Tamandua tetradactyla: one gene and its partner. The protein of the gene in region 1 interacts with the protein of each later gene in a pairwise test. Links are inferred from orthologs where the notes say so. Each region holds a gene or a part of one and is shown in the gene's direction. Other genes may lie near its edges.

The links.
Region 2: the proteins of CYTH1 (region 1) and CYTIP interact in binary tests that used the Homo sapiens proteins (3 or more experiments, as listed by UniProt). The link is inferred for Tamandua tetradactyla from reciprocal best matches to the Homo sapiens genes CYTH1 and CYTIP.

The regions. Positions count from the first base shown.
Region 1 is NC_135332.1:71,097,860-71,105,177, reverse strand, and holds the start of CYTH1 (cytohesin-1), read left to right. Parts: upstream 1-4,259; 5' UTR 4,260-4,878; coding exon 4,879-4,906; intron 4,907-7,318. UniProt on the Homo sapiens protein: Promotes guanine-nucleotide exchange on ARF1, ARF5 and ARF6. Promotes the activation of ARF factors through replacement of GDP with GTP.
Region 2 is NC_135329.1:127,771,909-127,779,102, reverse strand, and holds the start of CYTIP (cytohesin-interacting protein), read left to right. Parts: upstream 1-4,132; 5' UTR 4,133-4,242; coding exon 4,243-4,413; intron 4,414-7,194. UniProt on the Homo sapiens protein: By its binding to cytohesin-1 (CYTH1), it modifies activation of ARFs by CYTH1 and its precise function may be to sequester CYTH1 in the cytoplasm.

The DNA.
Region 1 (7,318 bases):
CTTGAGATTATGAATAACAGCAGGTATCCCACTAAAGAGAATCTTTCCCTGAAACATTACATAAATATTTATGTAAATTTTCTTCTAAAGTAAGATCAAGCCATTAAATATTTGAATATTCTTACCTTACCATCACCAGATGGGGTGAAGCTCAGTAAAGGATTAAGGCAATTTGAGGCATTAATTGAAAATGTAAAATGATATTTTATGTCTTGAGTCCAAACACCTGCATCAGAATTCCCTGATTCATGATTTTTAGCCTGAACAGATATAGTGTTTTCTTCTACTTTGTTGTTTTAGTGATGATTATGGGGTCCAGCCAGCCCTCACTCTACTGTCTCATTTAGCCAAACCCCATTCTTTCTCAGGCCTGCATCTGTATCATCATTCTCTTCTGTAATGCTCCATTGTTCTTCCAAATGGTTGTTGAATTTTCTGTACTTTACATTTGAATAAGTACACTGACCTTCCTCTCACAGTCTTGGTATGATAGTTTGTTGCATTTTAGGGGCAGGGCAGGGCAGCGGAATGCCTCAGTTGGCCCAGGATGGCCCCGGGTCCTACCCACTGTCTGAGGAGTTACTACCAGCACCAGCTGCAGACATGAAAATGTCCCTGTGTGGATAGTAAAGTATGTAGCCATTCTCTTTATGAGTGAGTTGATTATATAATTGGGCATGTCAGTAGTTAAATTTCTTCATTAAGGAATTTGAAACATGTATTTTCATTCATTGCTTCATTTTTTAACAATGTTATTTGTTGCGCTAGATTTAGCAAATGCCATGTGATATCGGGCCAGGTATGCCCTACCATGCTGTCAGCTTCGGGGCGGCTGCCTGACCCCCACACCCAGAAGCGGCACAAACCTGTTCTGAAGGCATGGGAAGCTAAGAGCATGGCAGCTCCATTCTTCTTGCCCAGGCCAGAGGGCTTGGAGTCATCCTGGATTTCTTTCTTTCGCACTCTTCATGGAAATCTACCAGCAAGTCTTTGGCTCTTCCACAAGCATAAATACAGCCAGAGCCTAGGCAGTCATTGTCGAAGCTCCCTTGGCACAGCTGTCAGGGCCTCCCAGCTGGGCTCCTGGCTCTAGCCCTTACTCCCCCACCATTTGCTCTTATCCACCAGTGAGCACAGTGTTGTTACAGAGGAGGGCAAGGCACTGCACTTTCCTTGGAAGCCTGGCACTGGCTCCTCATCTCACCTGGGGTAGGCATTTGATTCCTGGAAATGGCCTCTCAGGCCTTGTTCAGGCCTCCCCACTCTGGCCTTACCCCTGCTCCAGCTCCTGGCCTCCTTGCTGTTCCCAGAGAGGTCTGTCCTGACAGTGCCCCTGGCCCTAGTGCTGCGGTGTTTACCACCTGACATACTGCACATTGACTAATTTGCTTGCCTGCTTCACCCGTCTCCCTATAGAGTATAAATGCCACGAGGGTAGGTATTTTTATGTTTACTTCTCTGGTGCAGCACCCATGCCTGGTAGTTACTGCTGAATAAAAATGTGTTTGAGGGCCATGGTGGCTCAGCAGGTAGAGTTCTGGCCTGCCATGCTGGGGACCCAGGTTCGATTCCCAGTGCTTGCCCATGTAAAAAAATAATAATAATAATAAAATAAATAAATTCCCCTTTAAAAAAAAACAACTGAGGGGGGACTCTCTGCGTGGGACATGACTCCCAGGGGTGTGGACCTTCCTGGCAACATGGGACAGAGATCCTGGAATGAGTTGAGACTCAGCATCAAGGGACTGAGAAAAACCCTAGAATGAGCTAAGAATTAACATCAAGGGATTGAGATAAACTTCTCGACCAAAAGGGGGAAGAGTAAAATGAGACAGTGTCAATGGCTGAGAGATTCCAGAGTCGAGAGGTTATCCTGGAGGTTATTCTTACGCATTAAGTAGATATCACCTTGTTGTTCAAGATGTAGTGGAGAGGCTGGAGGGAATTGCCTGAAAATGTAGTGCTGAATTCCAGTAGCCATGTTTCTTGATGATGATCGAACAATGATATAGCTTTCACAATGAGACTCTGTGAATGTGAAAACCTTATGTCTGATGCTCCCTCTAGCTACTATATCAACAGAAGAGTAGAACATATGGAATAAAAATAAATAATAGGGGGAACAAATGTTAAAATAAATTCAGTTTGAAATAGTGGTAAATGAAAGCAAGGGGTAAGGGGTATGGTATGTATAGTCTTTTTTCCTCTATTATCATTTTATTTCTTTTTCTGTTGTCTTTTTATTTCTTTTTCTAAATCGATGCAAATGTACTAAGAAATGATGAATATGCAACTATGTGATGATACTAAGAATTACTGATTGTATATGTAGAATGGAATGATACCTAAATGTTTTGTTTGTTAATTTTTTTAATTAATAAAAAAAGTTAAAAAAAATGTGTTTGAGTGAAAAGAATTGAAGTTTAAGATTCTAGATTTGATTATAACAAGATAGAAACTTCTGTATAACAAAAGATACCACAACTAAAGTTAATATTAAGTAACAGATTGTGATAAAATAATTGCAACATCTAATACAGAGGATTAGTAATCTACAAGTTGATAAGAAAAAAAGACAGTTGATAGAAGAATGAGCAAAGGATGTGGACAGGCAGTTCACAGGAGAGGGAATACACAAATTTACGGCAAGATCACCTGCATCACTGCTAATCAGATGGTAAATGCAAACTGGAAACAATAAGAAGACATCATTTTCCACATATCAGACTGGCAGGAATTAAGTTTGATGCTGCCTGAGCTTGGGAAGCTGTAGGAAAATGGCAGGTGCTTTGGCAGTGTCCACTAAAGCTGGACTTGTCTAGATGTGATGACCTAGCCATTTTGCCTTTGGGTGTCAGCTCCAGAGAAATACTCTCCCATTTGACAGCAGGTAGAGTGTAGAAATGACCTGTCTTCTTGAAAGTTAGGATCATCCTCAGAGAATCAGACCTGGCACCAGAAGATGGGAAGTGCTGATTTGGGAATCATTAAACTCTTAGGTTTTGAAATGGACTGATACTGGGATTCCTTGTGGATGGAGGTCAGAAAGGAGAAGATTTAACTGTTTTTTTGACGTTCTAAGTCAAAGGGTAAAAGGCTGAATTTGTTAGTTGACTCTACAGAAAAAGTATTTAAAAATATATATATGTTTATATTTATTTAACTATTATTAGGCAAGACAGAAAAGGGTGGGATGAGTCTCTGCCCCGTGATGCATCAGCACCTGTGGTCGCCTTCAAATTATGATTGGTGACTCTCCATCTTGCTGTTAGCCTGTGTGTTTCCAGCTCTTTAACAAGTACCAGGGCAAAGGACAGCAGGTTCAGGCTCCCCACCAAAGAGTACAGGCACCTGCGATGCCAACCAAGGCCTAGTGGAGGGGGGTGTTGGCGGACCAGAAGTGAGCATCATGCAGCTGGTCAGTTCTACAGCCAGCAGCCTTCTTTGGACTTTGGCTGAGCCATATAACTTTTGGGATTTCAGTGTCCTTGTCCGTGAATGGACATGAAGACAACACTTGCCTCGCAGAGGTGCATTCAGGAGTAGGTGGGTTAGGCCATGTCAGACTGGGTTCAAAGGAACCCCTCGTAAACAGGACCTCTAATGCAGAGGCATTAGGCACACTTGTTCTCCTTTTATTTGCCACTTGCGAGTATGAATATCTAAGTGAAGAACCAGAATATCATGGAAACTATATCTGTATCCAGCAACTCTACTCCTAAGAATTTTTGTTAAGAAAATAAAGAGATTTTTTGTGCACATGGGTGTTTATTGCAGTGCTGAGAGTGGCAGTAAAATTGGAAACTACTTAAAAGTCTTAAATTAAGGGATTGCCTATTATGTTTATATGGTAAAATACTAAAAGCATGGTTGATGTTCAGTTAGTTGTGGAAAATGTTAGTAAAAATGGTGTTATAAACAGCATGTAGAGTATCTCATTTTTGTTGCAAACAATATATATACAGAGTGAGAACACACACAAATGAAAGTGAACAAGTCTGGGAGGCTGACTCCCCATATGTCATCATCAGTTATCTCTGGATGGTGGGATTGTGTTTTCTTATTATAATGCTTTCTCAATTTTCAATAGTGAACATGTATCATATAATAAGGGTGTGCTGAAAAGATTTTGGGGTAGCACATTAGAAAACAGAATGGTGTTAAAACCGAGTTTATATTGAGAATTTTGCCCTTGAATATTTTTTTTCTCTCTAAAACCTGCCTTCTGCTTTTATTTATTTATTTATTTATTTATCTATTTTACATGGGCAGGCACTGGGAAACGAATCCAGGTCTCCAGCACGGAGGAGAGAACTCTACCACTGAGCCACCGTGGCCCGCCCTGCCTTCTGCTTTTAGCCTGTGACCTCATAACGTGCTGTAATGATTAAGATTTCTTAGTCATTCTCTTAGGAAATGAGCTATCATCCCATGAGACAATCAGGGATTTCAAAGTCCGTTCTGAGAAAGTACTGGAAAGGGGAGAGGAAAGCTGCAGTCGGTGCTGCCGGTGCCACCACTGTAGACGAGCCGAATCTGAGGAAGGCGGGGAAGGGCAGCCTGCCTCCCGCTAAGACCGCCTTGGGAGGGAGGTGGCCCCTGGGCGGGAAGGTGCTCAGCCTGTCTTCAGGAACTGGGTGGTGACCAGGGACTGGGCGGGACGCTCCCTGTGAGCTGGAGGCCGATTGGTCCAGGAGAGCAGCCAGCGATTCCCCTTCAGTTCAGGAAGCAGCACCGAGGTGTCTGGTGGCCAGATAGCCCCACGGGCGCCTCTGGAACCCCTTGACCAACCCTCACGGGAAACTTTGCTCTGACTTGCAGTTCTCCTCTGAAGGACAAGCCTCGTGGGCCTGTAGGGTGCTGCTGTGACAGAGCAAGATGGTTCTTAAAACCCAAGAGGAGGAGGGTAAGGCCAGGTCGCAGCGGGCTGGGATGGAGGCGGCCTCGGGTGTAGGCAGTGTGCTTTCTCTCTGACTCGTGCGTGGAACTAGACCGACAGTTTTACGGGGCCTTTTAGGGGAGGAGCTAAAGACTGATCCACACTCTGGTTTTTATCGTGCTGTTTTCAGGAGAAAGACTGGATAATGAGTTAGTGGTTAGTGAGTTAGTGTGTGTTGGTCCTAGTGCTGGTGGTGGGGAGTGGGTAAAGTAACTGTGTTTTTAAACCAAAGGAAGCTTTTTGTTCCGCTCCACCCCCCAGTCTTTGTCGTTGTTGGGGTCTGGTGACTTCCTGGTGACTTCCTTCTTGGTGACTGTGCCTGTCCTGGGCAGGCCTGGGCTGAATCTGAGTGACAGTCAGAACCCCTGAGAGCTCCAAGAACACCCAGGGGTGAGTCAGTGCTCAAAGGTAGATGTGATAGACCGGCACCAGTGAGGTTCAGGATCAATCATACTCATTTTTAATTTTTTTATTAAATAAAGTGTGATGAAGGGAAAATGCATAGTTTGATTTTCCTCTTTGGTTAAGACTGTTTGAAGCCTTATGGAGTTGATGGACTTCCCCCACATTCTTCACACGCACTCCATAAAAAGTGAGGCTCTGAACAATGGGACCGTAAATCCCATTTATGGGATTTTTTTTTTTGCACAGGCAGGCGCTGGGAAGTGAACCCAGGTCTCCGGCATGGCAGGTGAGAAGTCTGCCTGATGAGCTACCGTGGCCTGCCCCATTTATGGGATTCTAAGTCCCAAAAAACTCTTAAGAAGAACTGTGTCTGACAGCATCCTAGGTTAGGGCTTTCAAACTTTCTGAAGCCATAGGAGTTTTGTGTGTGGATTTGTGTGCATTCTCTTGTGATGCTTTCATCACGTGGTGGTATTTCAAGGCTGTAAGTCAAAACAGCAAGATGATCTTAGCTAGTAAAGAATAATGTGAATCACATTTGAAATAAATCTTAGTAAATATTAGGCTGCATTTTGAAGTGGGTTTTATTAAAATTATAATAAATTTTGGTGGTTCTCTTTATGCTTTTCCTTATCTAATTCACTGTAAGTCATGTATTTTGGAGTTTCATGAACTCTGTGCAGATTGTCTTGGAGAATATCCATGGGGCAGCTTGGAAACTGTATCATCTATGAAAGACTTTGGGAGAGAGGGACATATAGGTGCCTGTCATGCTTTTGCACTTGAAGAGGGGGCAGTAACGAGAGACAATTCTGGGTAAGAGTTGAACTGCCCACTTGGGAGTTTTTGGGTCTGAAAGGTGGGACCACACTTGCTGTCTGCAGCTCAGGGGGATTTGGGAGTGGAAGGGGACACAGTGTGTACTAGGACAGAGCCTCTGGCCACTGTACTGCGACTCTTTCTTACGCAGACCCACCGAGTCCAGGCTGAGAGCCACTGCGGGGTCTAAGCCAGAGGGGTTTGGCCCCAGTTATCCCAGAGGCTGTAAAATCCAAGATGATCTGCCCTCATGTGCGTGCTGGGTTAAATGGTGGCAGTGCTGATTTTTGGGCCAGGAATTTTAGAGATCGGAAATAGGAGTAACAAGCAATTTTGCTCTGAATAAGTCACCTTAAAGAGTTGGTGGTTCTCTCTTTCTGTTCCTCATCCAGGAATTATCCCTCCATGTTGGCTGTTTGGAACAGTGCAGAGGGCAGAACTGCCTTGTTAACCACTGCCCACATAGGTACCTCAGGTGTGATGAGATGTAGAAACGGTAGTTGGGTAGCTGTTAAAGTCAGAGGAACAGTTGGAGTTTGCACTGGCAGTTCCCCAAGATCCCAGGGGAGGAGGGAAGTTAAGCGTCAGCATTATGCTTCCAACAAAGCTGCTTTTACTAGTTTTAGTACCTGAAGAACATGCCTCATTAAGGATCACTGGGGACGTGAAAATCTTCTTGACTGTGGTCAGATCCTTTCCTGCTGTACTAATCTCAGATCCACAGCCTATACAATAAAAGTGTTGCTTTTGCCCCCATCCCCCTTTCCTGGCACCTATGGCGGTCACCTTATATTCCAGTATCATGTATGTATAAGTGGGAGTTAACCAGTGTGAGTAATTTGGCACTGTTTCTATAACTGACGTTAAGTGGTTTGTTTACGATTTTGTTTCATCTTTTTAATGTTTAGTCCCCCTTAATTTGCCTTTGAGCCCTCTCTTGGGAAGAGGGATTTAGGCTCTGTGATGTGGGACAAGAGGCCCTTCGCAAGCAGCTGCCAAGCTCTGTTTCTGGTGCCCACCCAGTTCTGGGTGCACCTGGGCCCTCGTCACCTGATTACTTACTGGCCCCCAACCCTTGTTTGGTGTTTGCCATCCTCTCTGCTTGGAATCTGTTTGGGGCTCCATTCATCCTTCCTGGTCGGCACCACTGTCCTT
Region 2 (7,194 bases), on another chromosome or scaffold:
AACCAATGCTCCCAAGCAGAAGATAGTATGTTTACTGGACAGGAGAAATGGATGGTCCTCCACTTTGGAAACACTCAGGAAGCACTAACTTCTGTAGTTTTCTATCAGTGAAGAGGGAGCAGTCCTAGCGGGCCACCTCTGGAAATCCAGTATCTGGACTTCATGGCAATTTCCCCAGGCTTCTGTTTTGAGAATGAGGTCAGCTATCCAACCATCTTAGATGAAATCCTTCATTTCACAGCCTTTTTGCCCCCTGAGATTTTAGTGAAGTAAAATGTTCATAATGCTTGGCTAAAGGGGAAGTGCCACTGTTTCTGAATCCAGCACAATGCTTTGCCAAACACCTGTATATGTTTCAATATTTGTTATCTCACAGGCCTTCTATTGTGTTTTGAGTCAAAAACCAGGCCAAGGAGATTCTGGGTGGTCATCAGTTTTCGGAGTTCACAGTGCCTTCTACTTTTTACGATAGCCTTAAATATCTCTTTAAGGAGATAAACGTAAGAAAAAATGGGTAGTAATGAATAATTGACACTCTTCCTTTTAAAATGGTTCATTTTATACACTTTAGATTGCAAATGTCATAGAGTATGAGCTGAGATATAGTAGAGGAAATGCTTTATTTCTCTTTGGTAAATCCATAGTATGTGTTAAACAGTGATATTAAACTGCTATCATGCTGAGACTTCACTCATTCATTCACTCATTCATTTGTTTGTCTCTATCTTCCATTATTGGATTCTGATCTTCTTGAGGCAGGGATCACCTTTACATCCCCATAGTGCTAGCAAAATTATTGGAGACAGTAGTATAGAGCAGTTAGCCTTGTCAGCACTGGAAAAGGATGATGTGGATTCTAAGCTTGTCTGTCCTAGATAAGAGCTGTGTGATTTTAGGCAAGTGTGTTATCTCCAGTATCCTTATCTGGAAAACAGAAAGATAAATATAATACCATTATCATGGTTTGTATGAAATTAAACATGTTTAGCACATTGCCTAACTGTTATCATGATTATATGCTTAGTAGTCTATTTAACTTCATCAATTAAATTAATAAAGTAAAAGTAAGGATATTTACAGATGCCTTTACTTTTCTTCCCTCGGTTAACAATCAGCTCATTCATGCATTCATTATTTACTGAGGGTTGAGAACTATTCTAGGAGCTACGGATTCAAATGAACAGTTCTGTTTTCATGAATTTTATGTTCTAGTGGGGGAGGTCAAACAATAAGGAGGTAAATAAATAAACAGAATAACATTAGCTGTAGTTAAGTGCTATCAAGAAAATGAAACCAAGCAACAGAACAGAGAGAGTGGCTACTTTAACTGAGGCAGTCAGAGAAGGCTTCCCTAGTAGATAATATTTAAGCTGGGATTTGAATGGAGAGAGGAAAGAACAAGGCAGATTTCCTGCAGAGGGAATAATACGTGAAGAGGAACTGCTTTCTGTTGGAGGGACAGAAGAAAGGCCAGTGTGACCAGGGGGTAATGTGACGTGAAGTTATAGCAGCTCATAGAACATGCAGGACTTTGCTGGCCAGACCAAGGAGTTTGGTTTTTATTCAAATGCCAAAGAGAAATCATCTAGATCTTGTGTGGGTGTTTGTTGTTTCAGGTACTACACAAAATTCAAGTGCTCAGAGAGGTCTCTTGCTTTCCAAGAAGCTACCTTCTAAAGTCCCAAAGCCCTTCCTGATCCTGCAGAGTTAAACTGCTCCTCCCACCCCCGCATTGGGCAAGAGTTAGATTACCCAAAAACTGAGCACAGGGGCCAATGCGGAGTGTTAGCTAAGGGGAGAAATGGAACATTGTTTCTTGTTTATCTTGAATTTTGATAAAAAATCCAATTGTGAAATGAAACTCGGTCTGGTTATGTGTGTAAGGATTATGGTTTGATCTGATTAATTTCCAGAATCACCTTTCTGAAGCAATGGGGAGGATGAAGGGGATAAAGACAGTCCAGTTATTATAATTTTTCTAAGGCAAATCATAAGAAGTTGAAAACACTAGAACACCATTGCCAGTGAAGGGTTTGAGGTTCTGAAGTCAGATTCAGGTTGAAAGACTAGTGTTTCCCCATATTTTGTCACAATGGACACTTTGGATTGGGGATGTTATCAAAATATTTAATAACTGGTCTGACAGAAGCACTGACAAGAAGAACAGGGAACTGACCAATCAAAATAGACCAGGTTGTAAATATATAATCAATGGGTGTGACCATCTGGTATGCACTGGCTGCATGGTAGTCAATAGACTCTGGTTCCACCCCCCCCATAGATCACATGATTTGATTTGTAAGATTCCACTCGCTAAACACATTTCATAAATTAAATAATAAATAATTTGTTTTCCAATTTCTTAATTAAATGAAAGACATGTATAATTAACATAATTTTTAAACCAGCATGACTCACAAAATTGACATAATTTTAGCCTCCTCCATAAAACATGATGCATTCATTGGCCTATGTTACTGTATATCTGGGAAATGCATAATTTCCACTTGGTATTTTGAAATATTAAAAATATTTACCTCATTTTAAGGGGTGCAAGTGTAGTTCAGTGGTAGAATACTCACCTGCCATGCAGGAGACCTGCGTTCGATTCCCGGCCCATGCGCTTCCCAAAAACAAACAGACGAGCAAAACAAAGAAGAAAAATTCACCAATGGTGCTGCAATAATGGGGTACTCAGATGGAAAAAGAATGAAATGTGACCCCCATCATACAGCACGTCAAAAAAAAATTACCTAACTTTATAAAACTTCTTAGGTGACAGGTGGACTGCTGTCCTCAATAAATAGGACTTAAATGATTAAGTACGGTGGGGTATTTTGGAGATGTTTTAAAAATGCCTATCTATCTAATCCATAAATTGTACATAACTGCTTTTATAATTGATATATTCTTCATTGCCCAAGTTTCCCCTTTGTCTTACGCATACATGCTCCCCACCTGTCCCCTGAAGTTTTGTGTGTTTATAATCCCTCATTTAGATCTTCATATATTTTGGGGAGCATCATTTTGTCCATGTCATAATTCAGCTCCAGTAGTAATGAGTTATGGTGTGGTAGGGTTTTTAAAATTTCTGAATTGGCTCCATTCTTTGAAGAACTGTTAACTAAAGGTTTTACTACTCACATTTGGCAAGCTCCGCTTCAATTGAATTCACTTTGGCTTCCAACGCACTCATGTTCCATTTCAGTTCAAAGACTTTCTAACGCTTTTAAATTCCACTGTTGGCCTTCAAAATGAGTTTGAAAATCATATTTGACTTTTTTGTGCTACATCAAACCTTTTTTTTTTAATTTTTGTTTTGATTCCTCCTTTTACTTGCGTCTGTAGCCATGTCCCTGAAACTAGTTCCCTCAAAACCTACCTCTCCCCACTGCCCATACACAAAACATAGATGAGCCAAACTCTGTGATCTTGAGTGCTTTGTGATGATGTCCTTGAGTCGTATGTTCACGTAGAGACCAGCTGGCGACATCGGTGTGCCACTTTGGTTTGCCCGTTGTCTTCCTGCTCACTCCATTCTTCCTCTGCGACCACCTGCTGATGCGGAGATTCCCTTCCCATTGCACCTTGTTAAAGTAATGGTTGATTTTCACCAGGTCACAGTAGTAGAAGGACAACGATGCTAAATGGTTCCAACCCGAGTGGCAGATATAATGTCTCCTTAATGAACATTAATGAGGTAGGGGGTACCTTTGGAAAAATACATTACAAGGGCTTTGTGAGAGAACATTACAACTGGAACCTGAAATTCTTGTTTAATGTTCACAAGAACTGCGTGTCCGCACATTCTGACTTTTACATTGCACGGCTAATATTTAAGGGAATGGATGAAAAACAAATGGCAGAACTTTGGGAAGTTTTTCTTTCTTCTTTAAAGAAAAAGATGGCAGATGGTGTTTTGATCTTGCCATAGAACATGAAAGCTTAAGAGTTCTGGCTGTTTGAAGGAGAAAAGAATAAATTGATTTTCTTTCATTGTAAAAGCCAGCTTTAAGTTCTCCCAGGGGCTTAAATTAAAAAAAAAAAAAAAAAAGGCACTAAGAAATGGGAGTGAACACCAAGATAGCGTTTGTGTAACAAGTACCTCAAACCACAGAAGTCACATGGGTTCTTTCTGCTTTGCTACTTTTGATTACTTGTGAGAGGGTTAGAGGTTTAGCTTCGCCCTGGCCCGTAAGGCCACTCAACCATGTACCAGCTGGAGTAATTTTTATTCTCACAATGTCTTTACAAAGGCTCATGCAGTCGAGCAGCCATGGCCGTTTGGACTACTGTGTGCCTCCAGCGTGTGACTCTTACTCCCCACTCACAGACAACCTGCAGATGGAGGATAATAGAAGGCTCCAAATGCTGGCAGACGCTGTGGCTACTTTACCTCGGGGACGAAAGCAGGTATGCATTTCTAAAGAGCCTGTGTTCTCACCAGAGTAGAATCATAATGTTTGTCTGACTTCATCCTAGAAATGTTATTTTAGAGGCTTTTAGTGATAAGAGCATGGGTGAGGAAGGAGGCAAGGAGCCCAGAGAAGAGTGGACTAGTCTGAAGGCTTGAGACCAAAATCAAAATTGTTTTTCAAGGCAAAACGTAATAGCAAAGTGTTTCTCTTATTTGAAGAGATGTTCGGGTAAAATGAAAATGGGAATCCTTATGCACACCAAATGTGAAGGTAGTTTGTACAGATACAACCATTAAGAGAATTATTGATCTTTTTTCCCCATTATATCTCCTGTGGACTCTTTCCCTCCCATCCTTATTCCCAGTCTTTGATAGTTACTCATTTCACTTTATAATCAAATGGTAATATTTTTTTTCTTGAGAGCAAGTTTTGTTGGGTAAATACAGTTTCTTCAGCTCTGGGGTGTTTTTTCCATGTGCCTCACGCTATGAGAAATTAGAATTTCTCTTGGGTAAGAGAGGCTAGACCGCAAGGGGAGTGCCAGAAGGGACACCAGGGCTGTCACTTACTAGCTGTGGGATCCTGAGCAAGTCATTTGCTTTTCTAAGCCTCAGTTTTCTTTTTTCTAAAATCAAGATTTATTATAAATAATAGAGTCGCTCTTATGGGTCTCTCATGCTGCCTAAGTGAAGAAACGTGCAGTGTTTAAAACAATGAGGGATGTAGAATATGCGCTCAAGAAAGACTAAATTATGTTATTATTTTTACTGCAATGCATTCCCCTAGGGAGGAAACCTCGTTTGAAAAAATACATATCTAACTGAACTTTTTTTTCATTCTCTGGCTTACAATATGTAAAATAAAAGTAAGCGTAACAACGCTTCAGGTGGTACCCATTTGAATTTAGACATAGCAGTCATACGGAAAATATTTAGAATTGCTTTAAAGCATGAATTTTTGCCCTTAAATCATGCATCTACAACATATGCTCCTCTTAAACCTACTAATTTCAGGATTATAAAATTACAATAGGGTGGGAGAGGCATGATCTTTTTTTGATAAATATCTATTAACTGATTCTTTGATACTTTTCACAATAAAGATAGCACATAGTTGCAATGGTTTGGTTTTTAGCTCCATCTTAATCCAAAGTGCTTACATGATATTAAATTTAATGTGATGATGAACATTCCTATCAATTCACATCCTGTTTGAAAATAAAGCAAGTAAGGCAAGTACCAACATCTTTATTTAGTTTTCAAACACAGAGCTTTCTGTTGTACCTTCTATTTGCCATGCAGCTATCAGGCAAAACGTGGTTCACTTGGTTAGGCTCTGACTTCACCTTTTGATAGACTATTTATTGCTAAAAATAGATAGCGATTTTTGAATTAGGGTGGGAACTTTCCACTCTCCCATCCTCCCTATCTGCAACCTCTTCATCTTATCTATTTCTTTAGCTCATGCTTAGGCATTTCAATGCCATAGATAGTTTCTAAGTACTTAGGAGGGGACAGACATCATGCTAAGTGTAGGAGGTACAAAGAGATGAGAGAACCCATTTCCTGTCCTTATCGGGTTTACAGTCTAGTAGGCTGAGCGACTAGGCACTACAAAGTGAAACAAAGTAAATGATCTAATCCAAGTACAGGTCCTTGAGTACAGCCTAGAGGATGAATATTCCAGAGTTTGGAGAGTAATCCACAGCCAGGGAATAATTAATGGTGAGGCACAGATTCCAGGGATTGTAGGGCATATTTGAGTAGCAGCAAGTTATTAAGTGTGTCAGAAGGACATTGCACGTGTCTGCGTGGGAGGTTCCTCAGAGCCGGGCTGCTTTGCGGAACACTTGGGCACTTCCCGTGAGGAAGTAGTAGTTTGGCCAGCACAGGCAGCCTCTGAAGGATTTTGAGCACTGGAGGGACTTAGGAACTTTATTTTAGAAAAGTGGTATGTGTGTAAATGGGTGGAAAGTAGTGGAAAGGGAGTGACTTGCATTCTTTGGGGAAAGAGAAAATGAGGGAACGGAGGGGAGACAAAAACACTTGAGTATGAAAGGCAATGGCGACAGAAGGGTCTCTCTTTTTAAGCCTGAGTGAAGATAACATGAACTGAGAAAAGGTAATCAGTTGGAGAGGCTGATTTTGGGGAAAAGATAATGATAGGGATTTAGGTATGTGAAATCCCTAAGAAATGCATATATATACACATCCCGATTAATTTATTCATATGTTCTGATCTTTTCTAGGTCTCCCCCAAACCCTTTACATTTTCTTTCCAATGGTAGATCCCTACTGTCTAAACAGCTTTTTCTTATTGTTGTGAAAATTGATTAAAAAAATAGAAACGAAAGAACACCTTGTAGGAGATACTTCTGGTTCTATGCAATTGTCATTGATGGGACCTAATAAAAATTTATCATCACATTTCAGAATTTATCAAATGGATGTTCATTTCCTTTAAGTGGTTTTTAGAGGATTTTTAGAGTGCCACTAATTTGGTAGTGCCTGAATTACAGGCAACAAGATCTTTGTGAGACCATCAAAAGAGCAAGTGTTTCTCTGCCTACTGTTATCTCCAATACCTTCAGGGCTTACGTCAACAATTCATACTTCTTGTTATGGTTGGCTTTGGTTTCTGCAAAACTGTATCCGGTTACCCTGCAGTTTCAGGTTAATCTTTCGAATCACTCAGACTTGTTTAAAATGGATTTCTGTGCATGCATTTATCTGAATACTTGTATTTATAGACGTTAGACACCCCAGTGTGTCTCCTA